Linked DNA regions of Elephas maximus indicus. The protein of the gene in region 2 purifies or fractionates together with the protein of the main gene of each other region. This does not show direct contact. Links are inferred from orthologs where the notes say so. Each region holds a gene or a part of one and is shown on either strand. Other genes may lie near its edges. The genes, in order: UBE3D and DNAAF2.

The links.
Region 1: the proteins of DNAAF2 (region 2) and UBE3D purify together in Homo sapiens (affinity purification with mass spectrometry; 4 studies listed by BioGRID and IntAct, counting the BioPlex papers as one, with this or other methods). This does not show direct contact. The link is inferred for Elephas maximus indicus from reciprocal best matches to the Homo sapiens genes DNAAF2 and UBE3D.

The regions. Positions count from the first base shown.
Region 1 is NC_064819.1:146,741,786-146,757,637, forward strand, and holds the start of UBE3D (E3 ubiquitin-protein ligase E3D), read right to left. Parts: upstream 6,613-15,852; 5' UTR 6,348-6,612; coding exon 6,271-6,347; intron 1-6,270. Other genes in the region: uncharacterized protein LOC126070060, read right to left, coding at 7,480-7,497, 9,479-10,083, 10,694-10,697. UniProt on the Homo sapiens protein: E3 ubiquitin-protein ligase which accepts ubiquitin from specific E2 ubiquitin-conjugating enzymes, and transfers it to substrates, generally promoting their degradation by the proteasome.
Region 2 is NC_064828.1:61,933,044-61,949,042, forward strand, and holds the start of DNAAF2 (protein kintoun), read right to left. Parts: upstream 7,866-15,999; coding exon 5,994-7,865; intron 174-5,993; coding exon 30-173; intron 1-29. Other genes in the region: POLE2 (DNA polymerase epsilon subunit 2), read right to left, coding at 9,830-9,848. UniProt on the Homo sapiens protein: Required for cytoplasmic pre-assembly of axonemal dyneins, thereby playing a central role in motility in cilia and flagella.

The DNA.
Region 1 (15,852 bases), on a different chromosome or scaffold from region 2:
ATCTTGAAAAAACACAATCAAAATTGATAGATTAAGTAGAAAGCCTTATAGCTCTATATCAAAGAAATAGACTTTGCAGTTAAAACCACCCTACAAAGAATATCCCAGGCCCAGATGCCTTTTCTTATAATTTCTAGCAAACATTTAAGGAAGAAATAAAACCAATCTTATAGAAACTCAGAAAATAGGGAGGGAAACACTTCTCAATTTGTTTCATGAGGAAAAAATAACCTTGAAACTAAAACCCAAGACATTACAAGAAATAAAACTACAGACCAATATCCCTCAAGAACATAGGTCAAAAAAAAAAAAATCCTTAATAAGCCATAAAAGAAATGTGTTTGTGTGTGTGTGTGGCCCTAGTGGTGCAGTAGTGGTTATGAGGTTGGCTGCTAGCCAAAAGGTGAGCAGCTTGAATCCACCAGCCACTCCTTGGAAACCCTATGGGGCAGTTCTACTCTGTCCTATAGGGTTGCTATGAGTCAGAATCAACTCAACGGCAACAGGTTTACGGTGTATATATATATGAATGTAATACATCATGACAAAGTGAGGTTTATCTCAGGAAAGTAAAATGTTTAACATTTAAATCTCAATCAATGGAATCCACCATATTAAAAGTTAAAGGAAAAAAAATATAATCATCTCTCTCAATAGGCGCAGAAAAAGCATTTGAAAAAAGTTAACACCATTCCTAATAAAAATTCTCAGGAAACTATTATTAGAAGGGAACATCCTCTACCTAATTTTAAAAAACCCATGGCATACATCATACTTAATGGTGACGCATTGAATGTTTTTCCTTAAGAATGGAAATAAGGCAAAGATGTGTACTCTCACAACTTCTACTGAATGTTGGTCCAAGCCAATAAAATACTGAAAGGAAAATAAATAATAGATGTACAGACTGGAAAGAAGTAAAATGATTATTATTCACAGAAGACATGATTGGGTACATAAAAAGAACCTTAAGGAATATTAAAAAAAAAAAAAAATCTTCTAGAATCAATAATAATTATTTGACATGTTTGCATGATACAAATCAGTATATAAAAATTCTGTTTCTAGATACTAGCAACAAACAATTGGAAAATAAATTTAAAAAAACAAAGCCACTTACAATGAATCATAAACATCAAATACCTAGAAATAAATCTAGTAAGACAAGTGTGAGACCATTATACTGACCACTACAAAACACTGTTGAGAGAAATTAAAGACCTAAATAAATGGAGAGATTTACCATGTTTATGGTTTAGAAGACTCATTATTGTTGAGAAGGCCATCTTCCCAAATTCACTGTAGAATCAATGTAATCCCAATCAAAATCCCATCAAGCATGTTTTGTAGAAATGACAAAAACTAAAAATCAAACCCATTGCCATTGAGTTAATTTCGACTCATAGCGACCCTGTAGAACAAAGGAGAACTGCCCCACAGGATTTTCAAGGCTATAATCTTTTTTTTTTTTTTTCAATCTTTATGGAAGCAGACTGCCAGGTCATTTCTCCCATGTAGCAGCTGGTGGGTTCAAACCACTGATCTTTTGGTTAGCGGCCGAGTGCTTAACCACTGTACCACTAAGGTTCCTTAGAAATTAATTTATATGGAAATGCAAAAGCTCTAATATATTCAAAATAATCTTTAAAAAGAACAAATTTGGAGAATTCATGCTACCTGATTTCAAGACTTTCTTTAAAGGTACACTAATCAAGACAGTCATTTGATTTCTTGACTGCTGCTACTTTGTGAAGGGGAACTCAGTGGCACAGTGGTTAAAGTGCCAGGCTGCTAACCGAAAGGTCAGAGATATGAAACCACTAATGGATCCATGGGAGAAAGATATGGCAGAGTCTGCTTCCATAAAGATTACAGCCTTCCAAATGCTATGGGGCGTTTCTACTCTCTGCTGATTGTTACTCTGAGTAAAATGAAATCCTTGACAACTTCAGTATCTTCTCCGTTTATCATGATGTTGATTATTGCTCCAGTTGTCAGAATTTTTGTTTTCTTTGTGTTAAGGTATAATCCATAATGAAGACTGTAGTTTTTGATCTGTTAGTACAGTATTTTTATGCAAATTATGCACACCTTCTGTGTTTGCCAACTGTGCCCTCCCCTCCAAGAGGTATTTTTATAAGCGCTATGCAAATTTTTTTTTTTCTACAGCAACATGCAAAAATTGGCATAGTGGTACTTATGGAAACACCTCATGAGGGGAGGGAGAAGCTGGCAAACAAACTTAGAAGGCATGCATTATTTTGTATAAAAATACTGTAAGTGCTTCAAGTCCTCTTCATTTTCCACAAGCAAGGCTCTGTCATTTGTATTATAAAAAAAAAAAAAAAGGTTGTTAATGAGTTTTCCTCCAAGCCTGATGGCACAGTCTTCTTCATATACTCCAGCTTCTTGGATTATCTTTTCAACATTCAGACTGAGTAAGTATGGTGAAAGGATACAACCCTGACACACCTTTTCGAATTGTAAACCAGACAGTATCCCCTTGTTCTGTTTCAATGGCTGCCTCTTGATCTACACCGGTTCCATATCAACACAACTAAGTACTCTGAAATTTCCATATCCATAATTTGTTATGATCCACACAGTTGAATGCCTTTGTGTAGGCAATAAAACACAGGTAAACATCTTTCTGATATTCTCTGCTTTCAGCCAAGATCCATCTGACATCAGCAATGACATCCCTTATTCCACGTCCTCTTCTGAATCTGGCTTGAATTTCTGGCAGTTTCCCGTCAATTATGGCTGTAGCTGTTTTTGAATTGGCAAATCTGCTGCAAAAGATCTCTTTAAAATCTTATAAAGCGAAGATATCACTTTAATGACTAAGGTGCACCTGAACCAAGCGGTGAGGTTTACAATCGCCTCCTGTGCACAGGAAAGCTAGACAATGAAAAAAGAAGGCTGAGGAACAATTGGCTCATTTAAAGTATGGCGTTGGAAAAGAATATTGACTATACCATGGACTGCCAGAAGTATGAACAAAATCTGTCTTGGAGGAAGTACAGCCAGAATACTCCTTAGAAGTGAAGATTGCAAGACTTTGTCTTGCTTACTTCAGACATGTTACCAGAAGGGACAGTCCCTGGAGAAGGACATCATGCTTGGTAAAGTAGAGAGTCAGTAAAAAAGAGGTAGACTCTCATGAGATGGATTGATGCAGTGGCTGCAACAATGTGTTAAAACATGCCTATTATTGTAAGGATGGCACAAGACCAGGCAACACTTTGTTCTGTCATACGTAGAGTTGCTATGAGTTGGAGCCCACACGATGGCACCTAACAATAACAACAATAATCAATACAGTATTATACTGGCTTAAGGAAAGATAAAACATCAGTAGAATAGAACAAACAGTCCTGAAATAGACCCACACAAATATAGTCAATTGATTTCTGATGAAGATGCTAAGTTTTTTCAATGAGGAAATGATAGTCTTTTCAACTAATGCTGATGAACAACTGGATATCCTTATAAAAAAAAAAAAAGAACTCTGATGTCTACTTCATTTTAAACTCAGAAGTTAATTTGACATGGCTCATAGTCCTCAATGTAAATGCTAAAACTATATAATTTCTATTAAAATATATATATATATATGAAAAAATCTTCCAAGCCTTGAGGTAAGATTTCTTAAGACACAAAAAAAAAACCTTAAAAAAAATGATATGCTGGACTTCATTAAAACTATTTTTCTTCTGCTCATCAAAAAACACTACAAAGAAAATGAAAAGGCAAGTCACAGACTGGGAGGAAAATATCCACATATTTTCAAACGTATGAGAAAGGTCTTGTTTCCAAATTAAAGAACTCTTTCAATTCAATAATAAGACAAACAACCTGATTTTTTTTTTAATGGCAAAATATCATAGCAGGCGCATTACAAAAGAACACATATAAATAGCCAAAAAGCAAATGAAAAGCTACTCAACATTATTAGTCATCAGAGAAATGCGTATTAAAACTACAATGAGGTACCACTTTATACCCACTAGAATGCTACAATCAAAAAAGACTGATAACATTAAATGTAGGTGAAAACGTAAAGCAATTGGAGCTCTTTTTTTTCTTTTTCTTTTGCTGGTGGGAGTGTAAACTCGTACAACCACACTGGAGAACGGTTTGGCAGTTTCTTATAAAATAAAAGGCATCTATCCTTATTGCTGGTTGCCATCGAGCCGATTCCAACTCACGGTGACTCCATGTGTTACAGAGTAGAACTGTTCCATAGGCTTTTCTTGGCTGTAATCTTAATGCATGCCGATTGCCAGGCCTTTTTTCCACATTACCACTGGGTGGGTTCTAACTGCCAACCTTTAGGTTAGCAGTTGAGGCAAACCTCTTGTGCCTCCCAGGGACCTTAGCAGGGCTAATTTTTAGTCTCACCTAAAAGGGGCACCAGAGAATGTCCTGAAGTGACAGAAGTGTTCTGTGTCTTATTCTGGTTTGTGCTTACATAGATGTATACATTCCACAAAACTCATCAAACTGAACACAACATCTGTGTATTTTATTATATATAAGTTATATCTCGATAAACACTCATCATCTGCAAAAATCAGAGCTGCTAAAGAATAAAGTGAGCAATATATATGAAATATATTTTTAAAGTTTCAGAGGGTTCCTAGGTTTCAGGAATGGCATGGTTGTGCACAAGTACAGGGGAGCTCAGATACCAGCCCCAGAGAGAAGGTGGCACCAGGAGGAGGGAAAGGGCAAGGTGGCCAGGACTCTGTAATATTGCCTAGGATCCTGGCAGCAGAATAAATAATATTATATTATGTATAAATAATAAAGGCACACATGAATCCACCTGTTGATGCTGGGCACAGTCACTTCCTCTAGTACATGGTGGGGGAGGATTGGAGAAACCAACAAATTACAAAAAAAAAAAAATCTTTTCTGGAGCTGAAATTCAGGAATTAAAGTGATCTGAAATATAAAGTCATCTATATTTTCATGATGCTTTAAATTTAACTAAGTCTTATACATACATGATCTTATTGAGGCTTCCAAAAACCCTACAAGATGGACTGGAACTGGAGATATTTGTGTGAACTCATCATTTTAGATAGTTTGATAGATATAGTGATAAATATCATACCCATTTTACAATTGAAGAAACCAAAGCCACTACCGTGGAGTCTATTCTGACTCAGAGAGACCCTATAAGACAGAGTAGAACTGCCCCATAGGGTTTCCAAGGCTGCAAATCTTTAGAGGAGCAGACTGCCACATCTGCGGAAGAGCGGCTGGTGGGTTCAAACCGCCGACATTTAGGTTAGCTGCTAAGCGCTTTAACCACTTCGCCACCAGGGCTCCTTACAATTTAATAAACTAGAATTAAATGATTCTATGCTTGTGCGAAAGCAAGGATACAACCCAGATCTCACGTCAAATTTAAAGCTGCCACACCAGATTTAAGAATAAGAGGAAAAGCTAAGCATCAATTTACCTCGGAGTGGCGCTATATAATAAAAATGACATTTTGAGGATTTTAACATCTAACTTACTCTATTTGAAACAGCAGTCTCAGGAAAATAGGTGACGGGACTACACACCATTAAAACTGTTGCCAAGCAAAAGGAGTATTTTTCTTGTAAGTTTCTTGTTTGTGTAGTGAATAACGAGTTAAACGTTTGCACACTTCCCATTGGAACTTGGGATAGGATAAAAGAATGAGTTCCAATAAGAAGTCCCCAACCTTTGTTACTCGCTCACTGAACACACGTTAATTGAATGACTGTATCAGTTTCTCTGCAGCGAGCTGGGTATTTTTTTCTTTTCTTTTTTGGAAGGGTGGAGAGGCGGCGAGGGGCAAGAAGACCAGAAGGTATTTACAAAACAGGAAGCTCGCACATTGGAACTGATCCCATAACGAGGGTCCGGAACAGAACCACACAACCCATTTTTTGCACTGTTACTTTGGAAAACGCCCGGTCACTGCCAGCAGTATTTTACATCACTGCTCCTCAAACGTTAATATGCATTTGAATCCGGGAATAATTCCGACTCAGAAAGTTTGGTGTGGGGCTGAAACTGCATTTCGAAAAAGCTCCCAGATGATTCCGAGGCTACCAGTCGGAGTACTACTCTTGCAGGAGGGCTCCACTTTCATTAACGAGAGGCTCTTAGCAACTCGAAAGAAGAAACTCAAAACCCGACCTTTCGAGGGAGGCGGAGACCCCGGGGCAACAGAAAAGCCATCTGGCCACCGCGCCTGGATGCCCACACGCCCGCCCCAGGCCTTACCCCACGATCAGCAGCGCGCTCTGCAGCCGTCTCCTGACCTCCAGGAACATGCGCATCGCGGCCGCCGTCGCCGTCATGGCGGGAGCCCCCGCCCCAGGCTAGACAGAGCCTGAGATTCTGGCGAACCGGGTCACCGGGAGCCGACCCGCTGCACATGCAGCAGGAGCGGCGGCGGCCCAGCTGCCCGCCCAGATCGGACGCACTGCTGGAGAGGCCTCCTAGCCCACAGCGCCACCTGCCGGGCGGAGAACGCGCCACGAGGAATATGGACCGGAGGGGCGTGCGCTCTTGCACGGAATGCTGAGACAGGTGGGCGGGGAGAGCTAGGCTATCCTATGAGGCCGCTACTCATGGGCGTGGCCTGGAGCGTTAGTCTTCCTGAAAATGAAAACAAAAATTATTTCGGGGTACACCTCTTTGGCGAACTTGGGTAAGGATGGGACATGAAGAGAGGGAGATCATAGAGGGAGGCGATGCAGGTGGACACCACCCGGTGAAGCCCAAGAAAAGACTCACAGCTACCCTATAGGACCGAGTAGAACTGCCCCATAGTTTTTCCAAGGAGTGCCTGGTGGATTTGAACTGCGGACATTTTGGTTAGCAGCTATAGCACTTAACCAGTAGCCACCAGGGTTTCCAGGGAGCCCAAGAGTAGAATTAAAAAAACGCAAACCAAGCCCGTTGCCGTCGAGTCTATTCGGACTCACAGCGACCCTAGAAGAACAATAGAACTGCCCCATAGGGTTGCCAAGGAGCACCTACCTGGTGGATTCGAACCGTTGTCCTTTTGGTTAGCAGCCGTAGCTCTTAACCACTGCCACCACGGTTTCCAGAGCAGAACTACCCACCCTAAATCCATTTTACTTTGTTCTCTTTTTTATGAACTAGGGTCGATTGGTAGTTTATCTCCATCCAAGGCAACGAATGTCAAGGATTGACTTCGCGTTCCTTCTCAACTTGGACATGATCTCTCTAAGACTGAAACAGTTGCCAGAAAAAAAAAATGCAACGTAATAAAGTTTTCTGTTACCTATTCAGAAGAGTGGAGCAAAGGTTGGCAGCTGGAATCCATCAGCTCCTTCTTGGAAACCCCGTGGGGCAGTTCTGCTGTGCCTCATAGTGTCGCTGTGAGTCGGAATGGACTCGACCACAACGGGTTTGGTCTTCAGGAGGATGTGTGGCTGAAGCTCAGTATGTTGAATTACAGGATTAAGCATTCATATAACTCTTGAAAAAAAGGAAGTGAGGATGATTCCAACTATACAGTAAAAACTGACGCAGGGAAGTGTAAATATTACGCTATTACTATAATTTTGGAAATGTTGACATAGTGAAGGAAAGGACCTAGTATAATTTAAATACTTCTAACTGGGAACTAGGAATTATTAAAATATAAGTTCACTTTAAATATTAAAATATAAGTAGTGTTACAATAGGACTTCTTTAAAAACAAGAAGCTGTTAGTTTTTTAAAATAATTTTTATTGTGCTTTAAGTGAAAGTTTACAAATCAAGTCAGCCTCTCACACAAAAACCCATATACACCTTGCTACACACTCCCAGTTACTCTCCCCCTAATAAGACAGCCTGCTCTCTCCCTCCTCTCTCCTTTTGTGTCCATTTTCACCAGCAAGAAGCTGTTAGTTTTTAAAAACAGGCAATCATGACTTGTATATGTAAGATTCTATGTTTATTGATGTTGCTTTGTAATTTCAAGGTCATAATTATCACACACCAAAAATATTAAAACATTTCCAAATAAATAAATCCACTTCTTCAAAGATACCAGCTTAAGACTATTATTCTAAAATTATTATTTGGGTGTTTTATGTTGATAGACATCTGTTGCACAGATTTGTGTATCTATCACAGTAATTTGAAATCATGGATCGAGGTAACAACTCAGAGAATTGAGTTTACTACTATTCCATCTCAAATAATTCATCTACGTCTAGGGTAATTGTGATCCCAATACACCCCAGCATGTTTTCTCCTTTTTCAAAATGGGCAACTAAGAGGTTGACATAACGCCATAATGAACCTATAAATTCTTCTCCTTCCTCTGCCTGCCTCCTCCTTCACAGACCTCTGTTAATGACTTTGTTTTGATCTAATGCTAATGACTTTGTTCTTTGTTTTAGTCTGATGCAAATAACTTTGTTTTGTTCTGTCTGACCACCTGTGACTTAAACCGACCCCCCCCCCCAGGAAAATCAGAGCCCAGGTGTCTGATACATATATCTTTAGCCTGATAAAGAGATGTGGGCATGTGTCTCCTTAGTCTGATAAAGAGTCTTTTGTCATGATACTATAATGAGTAACTCCTCTGGCCAGGCCATCTTCAGACTACAAAGACACTTTTAACCCTTGTAAGATTCTATATAAACTCTAATGTAAAATTGCTCTTTGGGACTCCATAGAGACAGCCTGTGTTGCTGCTCGGTCGCGGATGATGTATACATCTCCTTAAACTTTCTCTCTCTTTCTGACTTGGAGTGTGTTTCATTGGCTCGACTGCTCCAGGGCACAGACCCCAATCAGGTAACAATGATTTCAACTCCTCTTATCATCATCCACCTATAATCTCCAGGGCTACTAAAGGCTTAAAATATTGATACATTATATTAAAATATTTAACATTCTTAGCATAATATGCCCCTCATGGTGTTTGATTATCGTTAGTGGTTTTTAGATTTTATATGAAGCCACTTATTGTAAAAAAAAAAAAAAAGTGTTCATCATATTTTGACCCTATAAAACCAAAAAAACGAAACCCATTGCCTTCAAGTCTGTTCTGGCTCACAGTCTAGGCAAAATGGTGCGATCCTCCTTTGAGTAACTTGAAGTGATTTAGAGTTTTAGCCTCAAAATAGCTGCAACTATTTGTCTCCTAATCTCGGGCCTCGAGTAACTCATACAGGCGGAATCCTCCAGCTTATTCAATTCCTCACTTCGCTTCATACTCTGCATCTAAACGGGACTGGCCCTGGCAAGTTGAAAACACCTACTAAAAGCCTCTTTTCCGCCCCACTTCTGCTGTTTAGGAGCCCTGGTGGCGTAGTCGTTAAGAACTACCCTCTGCTAACCAAAAGGTTCGCAGTTGAAATCCACCTGGCTCTCCTTGGAAACCCTGTGGGGCAGCTATAATCCCCTGGGCGGCAACGGGTTGGGGTTGGGTTTTCTGCGGTTCATGACGATAAGTCGCTTACCCGAAATGGCAGGTAGAGGGCGCTGTGGCGACAGTTGGGAGGCGAGGAGCCGGCTGGGGGCGGAGATCTAGGGCGGTCGACGTCGACGCCGGCGTGGCCGCGAGCGCGGTGCACTCTGGGAGCTGTCACCAGGCCCTTCGGCTCCGGCCTCCTTGTAGCTGCCGCGGTTGCCAGGAGAGCGGCGCCGGCCGGGAGCGGGCAAGTCCAGGGCAGGTAACAGCGTCCCCGCCCCCAGTGCGGTCGCGAGGCGGGCCGCCGGTCCAAGGCGACCTCCTCGGACTGGTTCATTCTGGAGTCGGGCTTACTGTGGCGTCGGGCTGTCGCGTCCCGGCCCCGCCTGGAGCCGCGGAGCCGCTGGCCGCCCTCTGGGTTTCGGGGATGCGGGAGCTGCGCGGGGACCGACGGGCGGAGGCGCATGGGCCGCCCTGGGCAGGGGTGGGTCCGGAGCGCCCGGTAGCCGGGGACGAGCTGGGCATGAGGTTGTGGGGCAGGTCGCACCTCTGCGGTAAAGGCGCGGGGAATAACCTCTTTGTTGGCGCAATCAGTGCGTAGTGTCGCCTCACTGACTCTGGATTCTCTTAGTTTTGAGGAGAGAAGAATGTCAGCTATGGTAAATGTTCACGGGAGGGGGTTAGAAGGGAGTACGGAAGTTTATTAAGAGGAAGTCGGATTAGTCTTACGGAAGTTGTTAAGAATTATCACCTTTGATTTCCAAGCCCTAAAGTTGCAACATAACAATAGTTACTTGTTCGGTTTTCTCCATTTTTTACTTACCCTGGTGGGGTGGCTGGGGGAAGGGGTACACATAATCAGCTACTTTTTTAAAGCTATGTCAGTTGTGTTTTGATTTTTACTCAATTTTAGAGTACTATGGAATTTGAGAAATAAAAGGATTGGAAAAATTTGATTTGGAGACTGTAGTTAAAGCAATTTGCTTTTATTATTTTTTTTCTTTATGATCACACAAATATGGTGGCGCAGTGGCTATGTGTTACGCTGCTAACCAATAGGTTGGCAGTTCGAATCCACCAGCCGCTCCTTGGAAGCCCTATGGGACAGCTCTCTGTCCTACAGGGTCGCTGTGAGTCAGAATCCACTCCACTGCAATGGGTTTAAGAGCTTATTTGCCGAAAAACAAGCCTTGAACTATGTGTATATATATATATATATATATATATATATATATATACCCATTGCCGTCGAGCCGATTCCTACTCATGTTGACTGCTTGTCTTCTACGCAGGTATAAGATCTTGTATTTTAATTTTATATGTCAGAATTAATGTGGGCTACTTTTAAGGTCTGTTTATGGATAGCATATGTAAACATTTTGTCCTAAGTAACTCACCACCTGATAGGCAATACAGTGATTTAGTTGAGCTAATAGAAATTGTCCACGTGCAGGCTAAATGCTTTATTTTAGTCATTACTTTTCAGCCACCACTCTAAATCATTCCTCAGAATTGCTAAGCAATGGCAAATATACAGATGGGCCTGATTATTGGGGACCCAATTCTTGCCGGAAGAATTAAAACACCTAAGTTAATACACAAACCAGAAAATGTGATGCCAGTGACAAACTGTTAGATGTAAATTAAATGTTGTCACTGTACATAGTCAAAAGAGACCTATTTTGTAGTTGAAGTAGTAGGAAGAGCTCTGCTGGAATAAGATTTAGGTTCGAGTTTATTCTGCCACTAATCAGGTGGCCTCAATTTTGTTATCTACTTAAGGGAATTTGACAAAGTCAGAGTTTTCCAAATGGATGTTTCTCCTGAACATTGTTCTAAAGCTGTTAATAAGTTCATTGCTCCAAAACAGTGTTCCATAGGAAATAATTTGGGAGCACACTGGGTTAAACCAAGTTAAATGACTTTTTGATTTGCTTTTAACTGCAGGACTCCTCAAACCTTCACTATGCTAATATGCAGTGTATATCTCCAGGGGAAGGTTATCACAGCATTTCCTAAACTTACCTGGCTCGAGATCCTATTTTCTCATGGCCAACCTGTTAACATTTCCTAGAATATAATTACATAGAACACCAATTTGAAAATTGCTATGCTTCGTGATTATTGAGTCTCCTTTTCAGCTCTAAAATTTCATGCGTTATGCTTTAAGTACCAAGTCAGTTTTAAGTGTGAAGTATGCTTCATGCTTGAGCAGGAAGATCTAGTGGCAACTCTCACTGGTTTCAGGAAAAGGCTTCTATTATTAATATTAATATTAAGAATGCACATGGGTCTTCATGAGCTTTCATTCATTAATTTATGGTGAAGATTTTTTTTTTTCCCCCTTTCCTGGTCTCTTGATGCTTTTCTTTAAAAATAATTAATTCATGTTTTGAACTTGATTCTGTGGTTGAGTTACTGATTTTATGGCATTTTAAAGTTGCAACAAGTAAAGTCTTGATGATGGCATTGTTTTTACCATGAATGATATGCCTTTTCTAATAATGAATTCTTACAACTATGAAAGTGATACAAGCTACCGGAAATATACTTAAATAATAATTTTAAGAGCATAGATCATCAAAGCCAGTTAAAGGTTAAAAACATTAATGCTAAAACAGTTATTTCTTCGTTGCTAACACACAGTATCTAAGTATTGAGTACAATCAACTCTTTTTTTTGTTGTTGTTAAATTCTGAAAGCAGAAAGTGTGGGTGCTTCTGTTTTTGTTGCTTAGTTAGGGCTTCCAGTTGTAGGAAAGGATAGGAACAGGATGTTGAATTTTAATAGGTGTCTTAGTTATGTAGTGAAACCCTGATGGCTAGTGGTTAAGAGCTACCACTGCTAACCAAAAGGTCGGCAGTTCAAATCCACCAGGTGTTCCTTGGAAACCCCATGAGGGAGTCCTACTCTGTTCTCTAGGGTCGACTCGATGGCAGTGGATTTGCTTGGGTTTTTTAGTTATCTAGGGCTGGTGTAACAGTAATACCACACGTGGGTGGCCTTAATAAAGAGAAATTTATTTTCTCACAGCCTAGGAGGCTAGAAGTCAGAATTCAGGGCGTCAGCTCCAGGGAAAGGCTTTCTGTCTCTGTTGTCTCTGGAGGAAGGTACTTTTCATCAATCTTACCCTGGTCTAGGAGCTTCTCTGCACAGGAACCTCAGGTCCAGAGAACTTGCTCTGCTCTGGGTGGTGCTTTCTCGGTCGTATGAGTTCCTTATGTCTCTCTGCTTGATTCTTTCTTTTGTATCTCAAAAAGAGATTGGCTTAAAACAATTTAATCTTGTAGATTGAGCCCTGCCTCATTAATCTAACTGCTGCTAATCTCACTTTATCAACATCATAGAGATAGGATTTACAACATGTAGGAAAATCACATCAGATTACAAAATGGTGGACAGTTGCACAATACTGGGAATCATGGCCTAGCCAAACTGATACGGATATTTTGGGGGGACACAATTCAATCCATGAAATAGATAAACCTTTGATAAATTCTCTGTCTGAAATAAAACTCTTAAGTAGTTTAAGAGCTAATATTTTTGTGTGATAGCTAACAGTTTATACTGAGAATTTATTATATGAAAATAAATACATTGATCCACTTGTCTTTAAATAGTGATTTGTTTTTTCTCCTTATTGTGTTTACCACCTGTATTAGTTTCCTAGGGCTTCCTTAACAACTTACCACAAACTGGGTGATTTGTAGCAACAGAAATTTATTTTCTCAGTTTTGAAGGCTAAAAGTCTAATTCAGATTGTCAGGAGGGCCATGCTTTTTCTGAAGGCTCTAGGGAGAGATCCTTACTAGCTTCTTCAGCTTCCCGTGACCCCAGGCATTCCTTGGTTTGTGGTAGCATAACTCCAGTCTTTGCCTCTATCTCTACATGGTCATTCTTCCCTGTGTGTCTCCTCTTTTCTTTTTATAAGCATAGTACTCATACTGGATTAGGCAATATGAGCTCATGTTAATTTAATTACATCTGCAAAGACCCTATTTCCAAATAAAACCACATTCACAAGTTCATTGAGGGTTGAGGGGGGAGGGTGGGCAGGTGGGCTAGGACTTCTACATATCTTTTGGGGGGACACAATTCAACTTATAACAGCCCTTGTCCAAGCTCTCCATGCCTGCAACTTCAATGATCTTTGACCCATACTTTTATTGCATAGGTCAAAGATACTGTATCAACTTTATTAAGGTAAAATTTACATACAATAATGTATACCCATGTTAAGTATACATTTCATTGAGCTTTAACAAATATATACACACCTATGTAACCACCACCGCAGTCAGGATATGGAGGATGTCCACTGCTCAGGTCTATATTGGTATGCTTCCGCTCTCTTGAAAGGCTTTTCCTGTCTCTACACATCTAAATCATACCTACCTATCTTTCAAGTCCTGGCTCAAATGCTAACTTGTCTGTGAATCCTTGATGGATTCAAAGTGAATACCTCATTTTGAACTAATTTCCTCCTCTAATAGGCTTCCTATGAACATTTTCTTGAACTTCTCTCTCTGTCCTTAACAATGGCTAAACCAATGTCATGCACGTAATAGACATTTGTATTTATTTGCTGACCAAATAGATTAGTGCAGTGTTTCCCAAACTTTAGTCAGTCTTATAGCATCATCGAAATTTCAGCCATATGTGCATATTCCTATATATTTATTTTCTTAATATTTCTTTAAGTCAATGCAATTATTTTTAAAGGAAACTTGAAATAACTACCATAAATAAAAAGCGGGGATCACTTTCCATAAATAGAAAGTGGCATGAAGTTAAAAATAATGAAAACAAAACCCAAACCAGTTGCCATCAGACTGATCCTGACTCATGGAGACTGCATGTGTTGTAGAGTAGAACTGCGCTTCATAGGGTTTTTAAGGCTGTGACCTGTTAGAAGCAGATCTCCAGGCCTTTCTTCTGTGGCACCTCTGAGATGGTTTGTACCCCCAACTTTTTGGTTAGTAATCAAGTACTTAACTACTTTTACCACTCTGGGACTTGAAAACAAAGCAATTTTATTAAATTATAGCTAGAAACTATTGCCTATGAAGGCTTTTAGCCTGAGACTTGCTACTCTTTGGTTAAGGAATATTATCCAGAATTACAGAGGCATTATAACATTCTGACACCAAACTGAGACATTATTTTTGATGCTGTCAGAGGAAGTAAAAGAGATTGAACAGGAAATTGCATCCTCAAAGAATTCATTATTGCTTAGCCGTGTCCTTGGGTCCCATAAAATTATCTCACATTGAGTTGGTGGCCCCAATTTTGGGAAATACTGAATGAATCCAGGCTTGAAAATTCCTTAGAACTTTATCTGTGTAAGGATTATGAAATAAAGTTTCTATTGTAGATTTTAAAATGTACTACAGTTAACTTAAAAAGTGCAGTATGCACTTTTTTGTAAAATGCACTTTTTACAATATTTGCATACATATTTACAGTATGAAGATGAAAAATTAATATGATTTTATTTAATCAGATACATGACTACATTTTTTCAAAAAAATTCTTTTGTTGTTGAGAATATACACAGCAAAACATACGCCAATTCAACAGTTTCTACATGCATAATTCAGTAGCATTGATTACATTCTTCAAGTTGTGCAACCATTCTCACCCTCCTTTTCTGAGTTACTCACTGCCCCCTAAGTTTCCTATCTAGTCTTCTGAGTTGCTGTTGTCAGTTTGATCCCATACAGATAGATCTTGAAAGAGCACAGTATTCAAGGCAAACAGTTTACTAGTTAAGCTAATCTGTTGTTTAGTTTTAAGAAGACTTCAGGGGATATTTTTGGTCTAAGGCTTAAAGATTATCTCAGGGCAGTAGTTTCAAGGGTTCATTCAGCCTCTATGGCTCCAGAAAGTCTGGAGTCCATGAGAATTTGAAATTCTGTTTTTGCGTTTTTCCCCTTTTGATCATGATTCTTCAATAGAATCTTTGATCAGAATGCTTGGTAATGATAGCCAGTCAAAAATATTCTTAATGTTACTTTTACAAGTAAAACACTAATACCTTATTGTTATTCAAACACATTAGCTTTAAGATAAACTTTTGAATCAAAAGAAAGAAATCTGAATCTAAAACCCAGTGGGAACTTTTTATAATATGACAACGTGATAACCATTGATTCAGGAATGATGAAATATTAATATAAACTTTATCTCATCAAATCTAAAAGAATTTGGTATCTCCTTTACTTCTCCCTGTCTTCACTTCTTAAGTTTTATATAGCCTTGTATTCATATTTCCATGCCGCCTCAAACTGGAAGTAAGAAAAGAGCCATCTTGAATGCATATTTATTTTATAAGAGAACTTTCTCCTAAACAAGTGGGTTTGTTTCCATATCTCTACTATAAAATAAAGCAGCAATATAGAAAGAATACAGATAAATTGTCAT
Region 2 (15,999 bases):
TCCACTATAAAACCCACCAAAATCCTTACCTTTGCATGAATTTGAATATTACTATCTGTAATCTGAAGAACTTCAATTAATGGTGGGGTTAGGGGTATTGTCTGTTTGAATGGAGAGCTCAGGACCTCATCAAGAAACTCGTTAACACTTTCTTCATTGACAAACAACCTTTCCTGAAATAAAAAAGGAAGATAGTCTGCTTTATAGGCTATTCTTGACCAGCAGCTCACAAAAAGACTTAAGTCTCACACACTACAGGGTTACGCATGTAAAGATGTTTAACATTATTCCCATGCGGTCTTGACAAAAGAAAATTGAATATTGTACACACACACACACACGAAAAACCTAAAAGAAAATAGTCCTGTTTTTTTTTCTGGTTCTCTATAAAATCTGAGTTATGTTTTCTCTCCTACATAGTATTACTTACAAATGATATTTTTATTTCCTTTTTCTTTTTTCTACTAATATTTCATAGCAATCACATAACTACTAGGATTATAACTACAGTCACAGCTATAAAACGTAATTCTCTTTCAGAATACTTCCCAATGAGTCAGCTAAGAAATATTCAAATTTTGTGTGATCAATTTGCCTTTTAGTTCTTAGCTAGGTAAGAGTCAAGTATATCTTATTTAAAAGAAGTATATTTTATTTTTAAGCATTGAGACACTGCAGTGTAACGCTGGTATACAACTATTTTTAAGAATGAGGTAGCTATCAAGAGATTTCCAAACTACTACTAGGAAATATAAAAATAACTCTTTGCCCAGAATCCTAAACACAAAACAATGTGTTTCATATTTATGTCAAATGAATAAAGATTAGGGTATGGAAGGAATAACCCTATTTAAAAATACTTAATTCATAAAATCAGTTCATTGTCCTGAATAGGAAAAGTATTTTCCTCTGTATTTTCATAATAAACAACTTTTATAATTACAAAAGAAACACAGCTCATTATTTGGTCCAAATAGAAAAAAATTAGACAAGTTTCAAATTTCCTTCTATGAGAATCTAATAAGCCAGGAGCCAGTGCTAGCGTCTGCTAATTCATTCAGCTGCTAGTAAAAACACTTTAAGCCTGTGACAAGACATCCCAAGACAAACAGTTTTATCCACCTATCTTCTAAATGGCAAATGTTAAATAGAAAAGTCCCACTGTTAAGTTTCTGAATCACTTGGGTTCTCTGCTGCTTCAGAGAATTTGTGTTTCTTCCAAATGATGTACAGTTTAGGGGGAATAACATTCCTAAATTGTTCCTTATTTGACTTTACAGTATTTTCTTTCTTGAAAGAGCTACTCCTACTGCTTACTAAAGCAGGGAGTCCAGCATCTGCTGAACACTGTATGAAAAAGGCTGCATGCGCACAGTACCCGTGTGGACACACACACAGTCTATGACGCTCGTAAAATTCTCAAAGGGTTTCATGATGCAAAAAAGTTAAAGAATCACTTCACTGGGAAACCAAGGTCAAGAAGGGGAATGTATTGACACTTTGTGGGGTTGGCAACCAATGTCACAAAACATGTTTATTAGTTGTTTAATGAGAAACTAATTTGCTCTATAAATTTTCATCTAAAGCACACACACAAAAAGATAATAGGTTATATCATAATTACTGGTAATAAAAAATAAAACTTTTCTAACCTGAAAAAATTTTTTAAATCATTTACCTGTAGAATGTTGGGCAAGTCTGGCCTCAGGTTCCTTAATCTATAAAATGAGCCAGCTGGACTAGGAAAATCGCAAGGATCCTTCCCGGTCACTGAGCTCAATGCCTTGAAACTTTGAATCCTAAAATAATTGGTCCCACAATACAATAATGGTATATAACTAAAAAGGACAGTATTATAAAATTAATTTATAAGATTACTTCAGTCAGGCCATATATTATATAAAACTAGAAGTGGAAGGTATGTATATATGGTATGTCACTCATACATATTTGAAATCTATTACAAATAAAGACTAGTTACGACTATTGTTTCTAAGAAAACATAACTAGAGTTCCTTTTTAACAGATTGAATCAACAGGGGGAAATGCAGAATTGGCCCTTTTCATTGGATTTATAATTTTTAAGGTGTACCCACATTACACTCTCTAGGCTCTCTAGGCTGTATTTTTACCCAACTTTATAGCTACTTATAGATACTATGCTTTTGGACCCTCAGTTTCTTAATATATATTATGAGAATATATTATGATTCTAGTGAATAACTCAGCAGAAGAGTTGTTTTTCCCAAAGTGAACTGTTTACATCTACAGTAATTTGCTTTGCTATTATTTGAAGATCCAGGCTAACACTGTATTATAGAAACATCCCCATCAAAAGCATTTCTAAGGTTTGTTTTCTAGAAAAGACTTATACATTGGTCTTTTCCTGACTGCTAAAAAACACATCAAATATTTTCATCTTTAGTTAACACAAGGAAAAATATTTATAATGAAAATGATTAAGATTAAAATACAAAGGATTTGCATAAACTTGCCTTCTCATCCTGGTGCCTGGTTTTATTATAAAAGATACTGACAGTGGTCTTGAAGCTGTAGGGCAATTCCCAGTAAATATTTAAAGCTTATATAAATATATTTAATATTTGTTTTAAGGTCTCTATGTGGTACAGTTTGTGCTCAACTACTAACCTAAAGGTTGGTGGTTCAAACCCACCCACCAGCACTATGGAGGAAAAGGCCTGGTGATCTGCTTCTGTTAAGATTCTAAAAACCCATATCAAGTCAATTCCAACTCGTAATGAGCTTATAGGACAGAGCAGAACTGCCCCACAGAGTTTCCAAGGAGCAGCTGGTGGATTCGAGCTCTTAACCATTGCACCACCAGGGCCGAGAAAACCCTACAGAGCAGTTCTACTTTGTAACACATGTGGTCCCTATGAGTTGGAATCAACTCCACAACAACCAATAACAACAGTATTTATGTGTAAAGTAACAATTCTGACCTCTACAGCCACAAAACAGTCTCTACATTATAATCATTTTCATATATATGAAATAATAATGATATATTTTATATCTATTCTCTTGTGAATTTTCTTCTAATTTAATACTTAGAGCCTGATACAACACAATGAAAAATGGAAGAATTGGACAGTAGGGTTCCATCAGCTTTAGCAAACATGATGATTAATGAAGTAATTATATTTCTATTCCAGACTTTAAAGATATTAAAAAAAAAAAAAAGTTGCCTTAATCTGTTAGCATACTGAGAAATCAGATTAAAATATATTCTTCAGAATTCTCTTAACTACTTGCCCATAAGGTTTTCTTCGCACAAACACTTATTTTCATAACTGTTAAAACAATTACAGGAAAATGACTGTCCTTTCCTAAATTTCCCCTTTCTGATGAAATAAACAGATAATTCAATTTTACCATATTCTCACAAAATATCTTACCTAGTGCTGGCTATTTTACCTTTTTGGGGGAGTTTCAAATTAACCAATTCTCAAAGAAGAGGCCCAACTCATAAAATGTACATGTAACTTATTAGCAAACTCCTATAAAAACAAGGAGCCCCCGTGGTACGGTTAAGTGTTGGGCTGCTAACCTAAAGGATGATTGTTTGAACCCACCAGCTGATCTGGGAGAAAGATGTGGCAGTCTTGCTTCCACAAATATCCCAAAACCAGTTGCCATGGATTCAGACTCATAGCTACCCTATAGGACAGAGTAGAGCTACCCCATGGGGTTCTAAGACTGTAATCTTTACAGAAGCAGACTGCCACATCTTTCTTCCCCAGGATGGCGAGTAGGTACAAACCACCAACCTTTAGGTTAGCAGCCCAGCGCTTAACCACCGTGGAGGCCAGGGCTCCTCTGTAAAAATCATAGCCTTGGAAACCCTATCTATGGGGCAGTTCCACTCTGTCGTATAGGGTCGCTATGATTCGGAATCTACTAGCCAGCAATGGGTTTTTTTTTTTTTTTTAATTAACTTTTATTGAGCTTCAAGTGAACGTTTACAAATCAAGTCAGTCTGTCACATATAAGTTTATATATATCTTACTCCTTACTCCCACTTGCTCTCCCTCTAATGAGGCAGCCCTTCCAGTCTCTCCTTTCGTGACAATTTTGCCAGCTTCCAACTCTCTCTATCCTCCCATCCCCCCTCCAGACAGGAGATGCCAACACAGTCTCAAGTGTCCACCTGATATAATTAGCTCACTCTTCATCAGCATCTCTCTCCTACCCTCTGTCCAGTCCCTTTCATGTCTGATGAGTTGTCTTCGGGGATGGTTCCTGTCCTGTGCCAACAGAAGGTTTGGGGACCATGACTGCCGGGATTCCTCTAGTCTCAGTCAGACCATTAAGTATGGTCTTTTTATGAGAATTTGGGGTCTGCATCCCACTGATCTCCTGCTCCCTCAGGGGTTCTCTATTGTGCTCCCTGTCAGGGCAGTCATCGGTTGTAGCCGGGCACCAACTAGTTCTTCTGGTCTCAGGATGATGTACGTCTCTGGTTCATGTGGCCCTTTCTGTCTCTTGGGCTCTTAGTTGTCGTGTGACCTTGGTGTTCTTCATTCTCCTTCAGCAATGGGTTTTTATAAAAACAACAGGAAGATGTAAAAAGTTCTGGCAGGTTAAACCCAGGGTCAAGTACTTAATTTTTAATATATAATCTGTGCAACTAGTGCTATTTCTGAGAACTTGACCCTGAATATGTTAAAAGAACAAGTTACATGTAAAGTTGATACATAACTCAAAATCATGAACTGCTAATTATTGAGTTTAAAGAGTTTTTTACAACTTCAAATTTTAAGTAGTTCATTCAATATTTGGGTGAAGTACTGAATCTGAAACTCAGGAACGCCAATAACCTAAAAAGTATAGCAGCAACTACACCACACATGCTAAATTATTCATCAGAATTATAACCTAAGAAAACAGGTATGCTCAATTTAGCTCTGAAGTATTTGCCAGCTGATGTAGCCGCTGTTCAGTTCAACAAACATTTACCTTTACACTTTGTTAAGTGCCAGACATTGTGCTAGATACTACTAGTAAACCCAAAACCAAACTAGTTGCCAACAAGTTAATTCCGACTCATAGCGACCCTATAGGGACACAAACATGATTCCAACAGACATAAAAAGAGGTAACTTCAATGAGATATACAGTACCCAGCAGAGGGCAACCCCACCATCGGCGACTAAAATTAAGCAGCACCATAAGGCGGGAAGGGCAAGGGATTTGGAATCACATCTGGGTTTGACTTCCTTTTCCTACATCTGTGTGGCACTGGCTGAGTTATTTTTTTTCTCTCCGGAAGTAAATTATTCTTATTAATTTTCCAAGTTCGGAAAAGGGGCTCTGGTGGTACAATGGGTAAACCCTCCTGCTAACCAAAAGTTCGGTGGTGTAGTTCGAACCCGTCCAGCGGCGCCAAGGAGGGAAAGATCTGGCGATCTGCTATAGTAAAGATTAAAAAAAAAAAAAAAAAAAAATTTTTTTTTTTTTTAAATCCTATCAGGCAGTTTTAGTCTGTCACATTGGGATGATACGAGTCAGAATCCATTCGACAGCACCTAACAACAAACTCAGAAAAAGTGATTTACAAACTTCAAATATGGTCCTTAGGGAATGGTTCTTAAACTTGTGGATCACAAACCCCTTCGAGGTTATGACAAGTTACAGCTTCTCTCAAGAAAAAAAGCACGCTAAACTTTTTGCAAACAATTTCAGAGGTCCACGGATCGCTGGGAATTCAGGAAAACAACTCCTACATTAGGACAACTTTGAAGATTTGAAACCCATTCACCGTAGTGGATGGATTCGGTTTCGTTTCTTCAAAATACTGTGAGAACGTTTAACACAACTGACATCTTTCATCAATTTCAATTCATTACCAATTCCAAGTCATTGATAGGAAGTGCTTTGGGGGGGGGGATAAATAGTGAGGCTGCCAGTAATAGAAAATTTTAAAACGGAATGGAGCCTTTCAAACATAAGGCTCTAGGAAGAATTGTTACCTCCAAAGAATCGTTGTTTAAACCGTAATACCACTGCCTCCAATGTCCATGGCTCTCCGGAGATTTGGCCAGTTCTATCACTGCATTGTTTGAAGAAATGCTAATCACGGGTTCTTTGGTACTCAATTTATTCTCTGGAGCAAACTGCAAAAAGAAGGAATAAAAAACAAAGTCTTGCGTGGAGAAGCACAATTTGTACCGAAGGGGGTTCAAATCCCCTCGAAGACTTTGCGGCAGGATCCGTGGAACTTGAATTAGTAGAATCAGGGATTCTTCATCCTGATTACACTGCAAAGGAGGACACAAAGGTTCCCCGCTCTGGGTCCCGGGACCACCCATGGCTCCGTTAGAGGGCTCTCGGTCAGCGCCTTCGCAGCCCCCGCGCGTCTGCACACTGAAATCTCTGCCTTCACCCCCTCTTTCTGTTGAAGACCCCGCGTCAAGGTTCCCGGTTGAAACACAAGGAAAGCCTCCGCCACCGTCGCCAGAGACGCTCCCTGCTCCTGTAGGCGAGTCCTCCCAATTGCCCAGCGGCGACCCCGCGTCCGCGTGCCCGCCGGAGTCCTGTTCTTTCTGTTCGGGGATAATCTCCTCTCCAGCGCCGGCAGGCGAGTACGCCACCTCGGGGGCGCTCGGGGTGGCGATCCCGGCGTCTGCAGCACCGGCACCGCTGGGACTCGAGTCTCGGTCCTCGGCGTGACCCCCACCCTGGCCTGCCTCCCCTTCGCGAGCGGAAGCGCACGACCCGCCGTCAGTTCCGGGCGGGTCCACCGCCCCTTCCGGCGCTGCCGGGAGCCCCCGGCGCGTGGCAGGTAGCGCCACAGGGAGCGTGATGACTAGCTGTCGCCGGGCCTTGTTGAACTGCGCCTTGCCGCGGCTGTCGTCCACCGGATACGGGAGCGAGAGCCGCAGCTGATAGTCAGGCTTCTTCGAGTCAAGGCACAGCAGCTTTCCCGTCACCTCCAGGGCTGCCTGCTCGGCCGAACGCAGCAACGGCAGCTCGATGGTGACCACCAGCTCGCGGGGCACCGGGCTCGGAGCCGAGTCCCGGCAGCAGCGGTAATCCTGCAGGTCCACGTGGTGGCGCTGCACCACGCTGTAGCGAGGCTCGGTGGGGGCGGGGGGCGGGGCCGGCCCAGAAGGGGCGGGAGCCTGGGGCTGGGGCACGGCCGAGTTCCCGGAGGCCCCCGGGTACCGGTAGGGGTAAGGGAAATCGGAAAGAGGGCCTTCCGGCTCCTCCTCGGGGCGGGCCGGGGCACCCCCAGGCAGTGGCGTGCGGAGCACGGCGGCCTCCGGAGTCCCCTTGTACTTGATCTTCAGGGTCTTGGCATTCCTGCGGTCCAGCTTCACGCCGAACTGCTTCTCGACGGCCTCCAGGGCCGTGGCGTCCAGCATGTGGCGGAAGCGCTCGTGGCGCCTGGCGAGCGCTAGCGCGTCTGGATGGAAGACCACGTCGTAGACCGTGTAGCGAGTGCCCCGGCGCCCCGCGTACTCGCGGCCTGGAGCCAGGCTGTGGGGCAGGAACCAGTGGTGGCCCGGCGCCGCGCCCCCGGAGCCGGGCCGGCTGCTCGGCGCGCCCACCAGCACGTTGCTGCACACGTTCACAAAGCAGCGCTTCGCTCCGTCCAAGCTGGTGCGCAGTACGTGGCCCGGCTCCGGGTGCACGAACCGAACCTCCACTCCGCGCTCACGCTCCAGCTCAGTGATCTCCGCCTCGTAGCGCTTTCGGTTCTCGGGGTCTGTGAGCTCCCCGGCGTACTCGGATAACAGCCGCCGGAACTCTGGGTCCTGGAAGGCGGTGGTGAGACGCTGTACCTCATCTCCGCTTAGGTCCAAGTCCTCCAGCGGCGACGAGTTGGTCGCCTTCGCCATGCTGCCCCGTAGAGCCTTGCCCTCGGGCCAAGGGGGATCAATCCGAGGCAGGGTGAGTGGAAGGCACCGTGGAGTCCCGGTCCGCGACGAGTGAAGCAGCCGTGGTCAGTAACGGCCAGAGAATTGAGCCGTGGGCAGCGCGTGGCCGTTGCCATAGCGACGGCGCTGACACCAGGCAGGAGGGAAGGAATCCGAGTGGTATGATTGAAATGCAAAAACTGGCTTCTTAGTTTTTTAAACCAAGTACAGTAATAATTATGGGTTACTGGGTTTCTCGTTTTTTTTTTTTTAGGTTCCTGTACCACGGCGAGATCAGCCTTGCTTCAGCTGATTAAACACTGAATCAGGGAGCACACCCTGTTTTTCCCAAGAGCATAAGCTCAGCATACCCTTTCAGTGCTCATTGCTGGCCCATCTTTCACATCTCTGCTTCCTATCCATGATGGGTAAAGAATTATAAATGGAAACCAGATTCTAGGTGTCCCTTCGTTCATCTACTCATTCATCTAACAAATAATTGCTTCTATAATTAACTTTTTACCCACCTTTGATTTCTGGATGATGCTGACCCACCTGTTTCTAGTTCCTGTGTTATTCCGTGACCTATTTCCTGCTACTGACATCTTACCTGCTCTTAGTAAATTGCCTTGCTTCATTTCAGTTCAAATTATCTGGCCCCTAAGTGTACCCTGTCTTCTAGTCATTAACAGATTTCCTGAAAAGATCTCAAAATACCGCAGCTTTAATTATGGAAGCAATTATTTGTTAAACTAATGAGTGAATAGGAACACCTGGTATCCACTTGCCATCATTCATATAAAGCTCTACGGCTCTCGTAACTGGATAACTGGACGAACAAACCTTATGTCTATTTCACTACGACTTTCAAGGCCCAAAATGTAAATTTTTTCAAGCAATCTAGTGGCTTTAAACCTGTGCCTTGATTTTATCTTTAAACTTCCAATTTTTCCAGGCTATTCTTGGAGAAATCAAAGCTATAAAACCCTGCTTTTCTAACATCAGGTTCCTTCTTACATGCTTCCCGAATTTTCCATCTTCAAAACACATCTCAAATTGCCAGGTCTTCCTTACTGCTAATTCACTTAACACTGCATTCAGGTTAAATTTCCAGGAATTTCCTCTTCATTACGCCATTTTTATTTTTTATTAGTATCTCCTCCCAAAAAAACTAATTCTATTTGAAATAAATATCTTCCATTCAGGCTTTTTGTAATTTCTAATGTTACTACTACATTGGAAACATCCTTTGTACCTCTGCCTAACAGCCTCTCTCATTCAGATTCATTTCTGGGCTATCTTTCCATCAAGTCCCTAAACTACACGATAAATAAAAGGATAGTGTTGAGTGATATACGTACAAAACAACAAAACATGCTGCTTCAAAATAAACATGTCTTCTAAATGTTAAAACTATAGGGATTGTTTGTTTTTATATTTCCAGTACCAAAAACTTCTGTGTCTGTGTAATGAATATCAAACTAAGGTCCTGAAGCAAAATCAGTGGGAGAAATTCTGTGACTGAAATCTAGACAGTTTGAAAAATGCTGAGCATACTGTTGGGACTCTTATGGTGATAAAAACCTAAGACTAAAACAATGATTTGGGCACTTTTAAATATTTGTATTTTTCTTAAAGTTAACATGTATGACAATTACAGAGAAACAAAACTTTATATTTTAAGTGCAAAAGTATACCTAGATAATATCTTTGCACATATCCACATATTTTTCTTAAAAGACTGTAGAAAATATATTTCCTATAAAATTTTCTGAAGTATACCGTCATGTTTATTGTGATTTAATATAAAAAATTTGTCTAATATAAATTGATAGAACTTCGTAAAGTACCATAATTTTATTATAACTTAATATCAAAATTACATAAAATATAAAATTAAACAGGAAACTGATGAATTTGGTTTCCTCATACGGTCTTTAAGAATCTCAAAAGCCTTGAAGTTTGCTGAAAACAGAAAAAAGTGAAAAAATTAAACCTTTTAGAAACAAATTATATATTTCTTAATATTTATTTTTAATTAACTTAAAACATAGGTTAATACATGCACATGGTTCTAAATTCAAAAGAGCACACACTGAAAAGTAAGCCAGTCTCATACCTCACTTCTCCTCACACAGATTTGTGTATGCTTATAGTCTAATCATATAACAGCATGTTTGTATGTGGAATATCCTTTAAAAATGCATACATGAGTGTAGAATACGATGCATGTTATTCTACACTTTTTTTTCCAATTACTAGTAAGTACATTTATATCTTAACCAACCCCTTCTTTTGTGCCTTTGAAATTTAAATAAAACTTCTGAATACATACACACAATTTAAATAAAAATACATTTAAATGGTTTCATTGCTATGCTGTATTCCTTACTATAAAACTCCAATTAAAAAAACCTTTATTTTTACGCATAAGCCTACATATACATACCTGTAGAATAAATTTCTAGAAATTGAATTGCTGGTATATGCATTTTAGATCTTAATAAATCTTGTCAAATTGCCCTCTATAAGGTTTCATTCTGACCAACAATGTATGTGAATGCGTATTTCCGACTACATCGCCAATACTGAGTTTTTAAATAAAACAACTGTATTTGAAAGTACATATCGAAACAGGGTTAACCTTAATCTACTCTGCCTACATTTTTGTGATTAACTGTACAATATGATTTCACAAGTATTCTAACAAGATCTCCTAGGCATTAAGTAGCAGGAAGACGAAATTATTTTACTATATCTTGAAATTTTTTTCTGTTCTCTCAAAAAAAAACATAAATCAAGTTTTGATTTGGGAGTGTGGATATTATATTGGATTTAGCACTGAAAAGATTCCTCGGATTATCAGTACTAAGCCACAGTTTGGAAATGATATCAAGGCTTTTCAGCATCTGTGTCCACAGAAGATACAGGAACCTGTTTCAATTCAACAAACACTAAGTGAGCACTGACTACAAGTCAAATACTATGTTAGATCCTATGCTAGAAACTTTTAGGAGGGACATGCACATTAATGACTTCTAATGCAACGTGCAAAGAACTGTAATAGCTGCATAAAGTGCTCAGAACACAAAGCAATCAGGGAACATTACAGGAGATATAACTGAAATGACTTATGCTATCACAATACCTCAGTTAATTTCCTATTAGGTTTATTATATACCATCTCATTAAAAATATATATAAAATGGCTTGTACAGATAAATAAGAAAAATAAGTAAATGAGGAAATTCAGGTAAAGGGAAAATAGGGATCAGAAAAAAAGATAAAGCAAGGGCTGAGGTTAGCACCCACCACTTAAACTAGTAAATCGTCTGCATGACAGAGGTGGGCTGCAAATTTCACCGTTTCCTAGCAGTCAAAGTGAAGGGAGACAATTGGAAGATTTACATTTACTTGGGACAGACAGATTTCTCTTCTCCTGAGACCTGTTGAAACTGCCCAATATTGGTTTTCATAGCAGACTAATTTTTTTATGTCGATAGCATAACCCAAATCTCTGTTAAGTCAATCTAAAGGCACACAGCCCTCAGAAATGGCTTAATCCCAAGGTCACAAAATTAAATGCCTTCAGGGGCAGCGGGGTACACAGGTACACAACAGGGAGTGGAGGGACTGGAGAAGAGCACTGAAGGGTATTCCAAATTTTTTTTTTTTTTTTTTTTAGTATTCAGTGCAGGCTACATAAAGTCAAACACATTAGACTTACAGAACACGGGTCTAGGATATCTGTGATTTTTATGAGTGTCTGTTTATATTCTAAGAACTAAGCAGTGCCTGGTATGCTATAAGAATTTAAGTAGAAAGGCAGGGTCAGGATGGCTAATAGCCAGACGCTTCCGGCAATCCCTCTTACAACTAAGACCCAAAAAAACAAGTGAAATGATTATATTTATGACAAGCTAGGAGCCCTGAACATCAAAGGCCAAGTTAGAAAACAGACTGAGTGGCAGGGAGAGAAAGAGATAGTTCAAAAGCGGAGGAGTTGCCAGCCCCGGATCACTGGGATCCCTCAGGCTCCATTCCCAGGAGTGGCTGCAGGGGGCTGGTGGTAGCGTTCGGCTGCAGTTTCTTCAGGGAGAAGCAACCAGCCGCACAGCCTACTCAACACCTCCAGATCCAGAGAAGAACGGTGCTCTTGGCAAAAGCTGAGTACTTGCATATATTTTTCCGTGCCCCCTGCCCCCAAGCTGGCTTCTGATTTCCCTGGGCCTGGGATAAGCCCTGTTGAGAGCCAGGAGCGATTCTCTCAGCCTTGGAGAAGGAATAAAGTTGCAATTGGGGGAAAAGATAATTTGCCAGCTCCACTAACCTGGGGAGCGCCTGATAGAAGTAGCTCCTATCCAGACATAGACAGTGTGTCGACTTTGAATACCTTTTGCCCCTGTGTGGACCTGTGTGGGCCTATTACAGGAGAATACGCCCTTGTTGGTAGACAGCAACTGTTTCAGCTGTACGGTAGAGAGGTGGGTGTTTGATGTTTGACACCCCATTGCCTATTAAACACGGTCCTCACCTACCCACATCAGGGGCCTAAGGACTCGTGGCTCTACTCAGGTCACCCAAACACCTGCGACAGGCATCCAAGAATAACTAGTACCTCCCGGTCCTTAAAACCTAAAGCATTGGGTGCCCGTAGACTGTCTACAGAACTCACCCACCTGTACACTCTAGGGAACAGGGATGCACTTTCCTCAGAGACACTTGGGGGACAATTCTGAGACCCCTGCCTTGTTCAGAACATGACCTCCTGCTGCAACCAGATACCGGTACCTACACCAATCACCCCTGCCCTTCTAAGACTGTAGGACAGAGCCTGTACCACACACTTGATGAACAACTACCTGGACACATGAGCTGAATCCATACAAGGAAAGTGAACGGACTTCTAGACTGATACACCTAATAACAGCTCTAAGCATCTGGTGACAGGACGCTAGAGCTTCAAAGTCGAAAGTAATCAAGCTAGCTCAAGCAAGCAACCTATTTGGGCATATCAAAACAAAGCGAAGCAAAAAGCTAGGATACAATAAGCACACAAAATAATAATGTACAGATGGCTCAGAGACAACAGTCAATATCAAATCACATAAAGAAACCGACCATGATCGCTTCAACAAGCTCTCAAAGAATCAAGGGATCTTATAGATGAAAGTGCATTCCTGTAATTACCAGAGGCAGAATACAAAAGATTAATATACAGAACCCTTTAAGACATCAGGCAATATGCAGAACAAGCCAAGGAACACACAGATAAAGCAGCTGAAGAAATTAAAAAGGTTCAAAGAACATATGAAAAATTTAATAAGCTGCAAGAATCCATAGGGAGACAGCAATTAGAAATTCAGAAGATTAACAATAAAATTACAGATTTAGACAGATTTAGACAACTCAATAGAAAGAGAAGAATTGAGCAAGTGGAAGGCAGAATTGGTGAGCTTGAAGACAAAGCACTTTGCACCAATATATTTAAAGAAAAATCAGATAAAAATTTTTTTTTAAAATGCAGAAATTTTAAGAATCATGTGGGACTCTATCAAGAGAAATAACCCACGAGTGACTGGAGTACCAGAACAGGGGAATATCAGAAAATACAAAGAGAATTGTTGACGATTTGTTGGCAGAAAATTTCCTGATATCATGAAAGATGAGAAGATATCTATCCAAGACGCTCATCGAACTCCACGTAAGGTAGATTTTAAAACAAAGTCACCAAGATATATTATAATCAAACTTGACAAAACCAAAAATAGAGAATTTTAAGAGCAGGTAGGGATAAATGAAAAGTCATCTACAATAAGCTCGGCCTACTCGGCAGAAACCATGCAGGGAAGAAGGCAATGGAATGACTTATATAAAGCATTGTAGGAAAAAAATTGCCAACTAAGAATCATAAATCCAGCAAAACTGTCTCTCAAGTATGAAGGTGAAATCAGGACATTTCCAGATAAACAGAAGTTTAGGGAATTTGTAAAAACCAAATCAAAACTACAAGAAATACCAAAAGGAGTTCTTTGGTTAGAAAATCAATAATATCAGGTATCAACCCAAGACTAGAACACTGGACAGAGCAATCAGATGTCAACCCAGACATGGAAATCACAAAAACAGGATAAAAAAAGGCTCAAAATGGGGAAACAGCTATCTTATTATGTAAAAGGAGACAACATTAAAACAATAAAGAGGGACTAAGAAATGTAGTCACTGATCTTTCACGTGGAGAGGAAGACAAAGCAATATAAAGAAATAAGAGTTAGGTTTAAACTTAGAAAAATATGCATAAATATTAAGGTAACCACAAAGAAGACTAACTATCCTACACAACAAAATAAAACACACAAAAAAAATAGAGACTCAGCAGAAACAAAATCAACAACGAGTAAGAGAAAAAGACAATATATAAACTACTCAGCACAAAAAATTAAGTGGGAAAAAGAAACTGTCAGCAACACACAAAAAAAGACACCAAAATGAAATGACAGCACTAAATTCATTCCTATCCATAATTACACTGAATGTAAATGGACTAAATGCACCAATAAAGAGACACAGAGTGGCAGAACGGATAAAAAACATGATCCGTCTATATGTTGCCTACAAGAGACACACCTTAGAAACACAAACAAACTAAAACTCAAACGATGGGAAAAAATAAGCAAACAACAATCAAAAAAGAGCAGGAGGGACAATATTAATTTCTGACAAAACAGACTTTAAAGTTAAATCCACCACAAAGGATGAGAAAGGACACTATATAATGATTAAAGGGACAATATACCAGGAGGATATAATCCTATTAAATATTTATGCACCCAATGACAGGGCTGCAAGATACATAAAACAAATGCTAAGAGCTTGAAAAGTGAGACAGACATTTCCACAATAGTAGTAGGAGACTTCAACACACTACTTTCAGTTAAGGGCAGGACATCCAGAAAGCAGCTCAATAAAGACACAGAAAATCTAAATGCCACAATCAACCAACTTGACCTTATAGACGTTTACAGAACACTCCACCCAACAGCAGCCAACTATATTTTCTAGTGCACATGGAACGTTCTCCAGAATAGACCACATAAAGCAAGCCTTAGCAGAATCCAAAACACTGAAATATTTTACAAAGCGTCTTCTCTGACCATAAGGCCATAAAAGTAGAAATCAATAACAAAAAAGCAGGGAAAAGAAATCAAACACCTGGAAACTGAACAATACCCTGCTCAAAAAAGACACTAAGGTTGGAATAAAGAAATTCATTGAATCCAATGAGCATGAAAACACTTCCTATCAGAAGTGGGACACAGCGAAAGCAGTGCTCAGAGGTCAATTTATATCAATAAATGAACACATACAAAAAAAAGAAAAGGTCAAAATCAAATAAATATCCCTACAACTTGAACAAATAGAAAGCAACAAAAGAAACCCTCAGGCACCAGAAGAAAGCAAATAATAAAAATTAGAGCAGAATTAAATGAAATAGAAAACAGAAAAACAATTGAAAGAATTAACTAGACCAAAAGCTGATTCTTTGAAAAAATTAACAAAATTGATAAACCATTGGCCAAACTGACAAAAGAAAAACCGGACAAGAAGCAAATAACCCGAATAAGATATGAGATGGGCGATATTACAACAGACCCAACTGAAATTAAAAGAATCATATCAGATTACTATGAAAAATTGTACTCTAACAAATTTGAAAACCTAGAAGAAATGGATGAATTCCTAGAAACGCACTGCCTACCTAAACTAACACAGAGGTAGAACAACTAAATAGATCCATAACAAAAGAAGAGGTTGCAAAGGTAATCAAAAAACTACCAACAAAAAAACCCCTGGCCCATACGGCTTCACTGCAAAATTCTACCAAACTTTCAGAGAAGAGTTAACACCACTACTACTAAAGCTATTTCAGAGCATAGAAAAGGACGGAGTACTCTCAAACTCATCCTTTGAAGCCAGCATATCCCTGATACACCACAAAAAAAGAAAATTACAGACCTATACCCGTCATGAACTTAGATGCAAAAATCCTCAACAAAATTCTAACCAATAGAATTCAATAACTTATCAAAAAAATAATTCACCATAACCAAGTGGG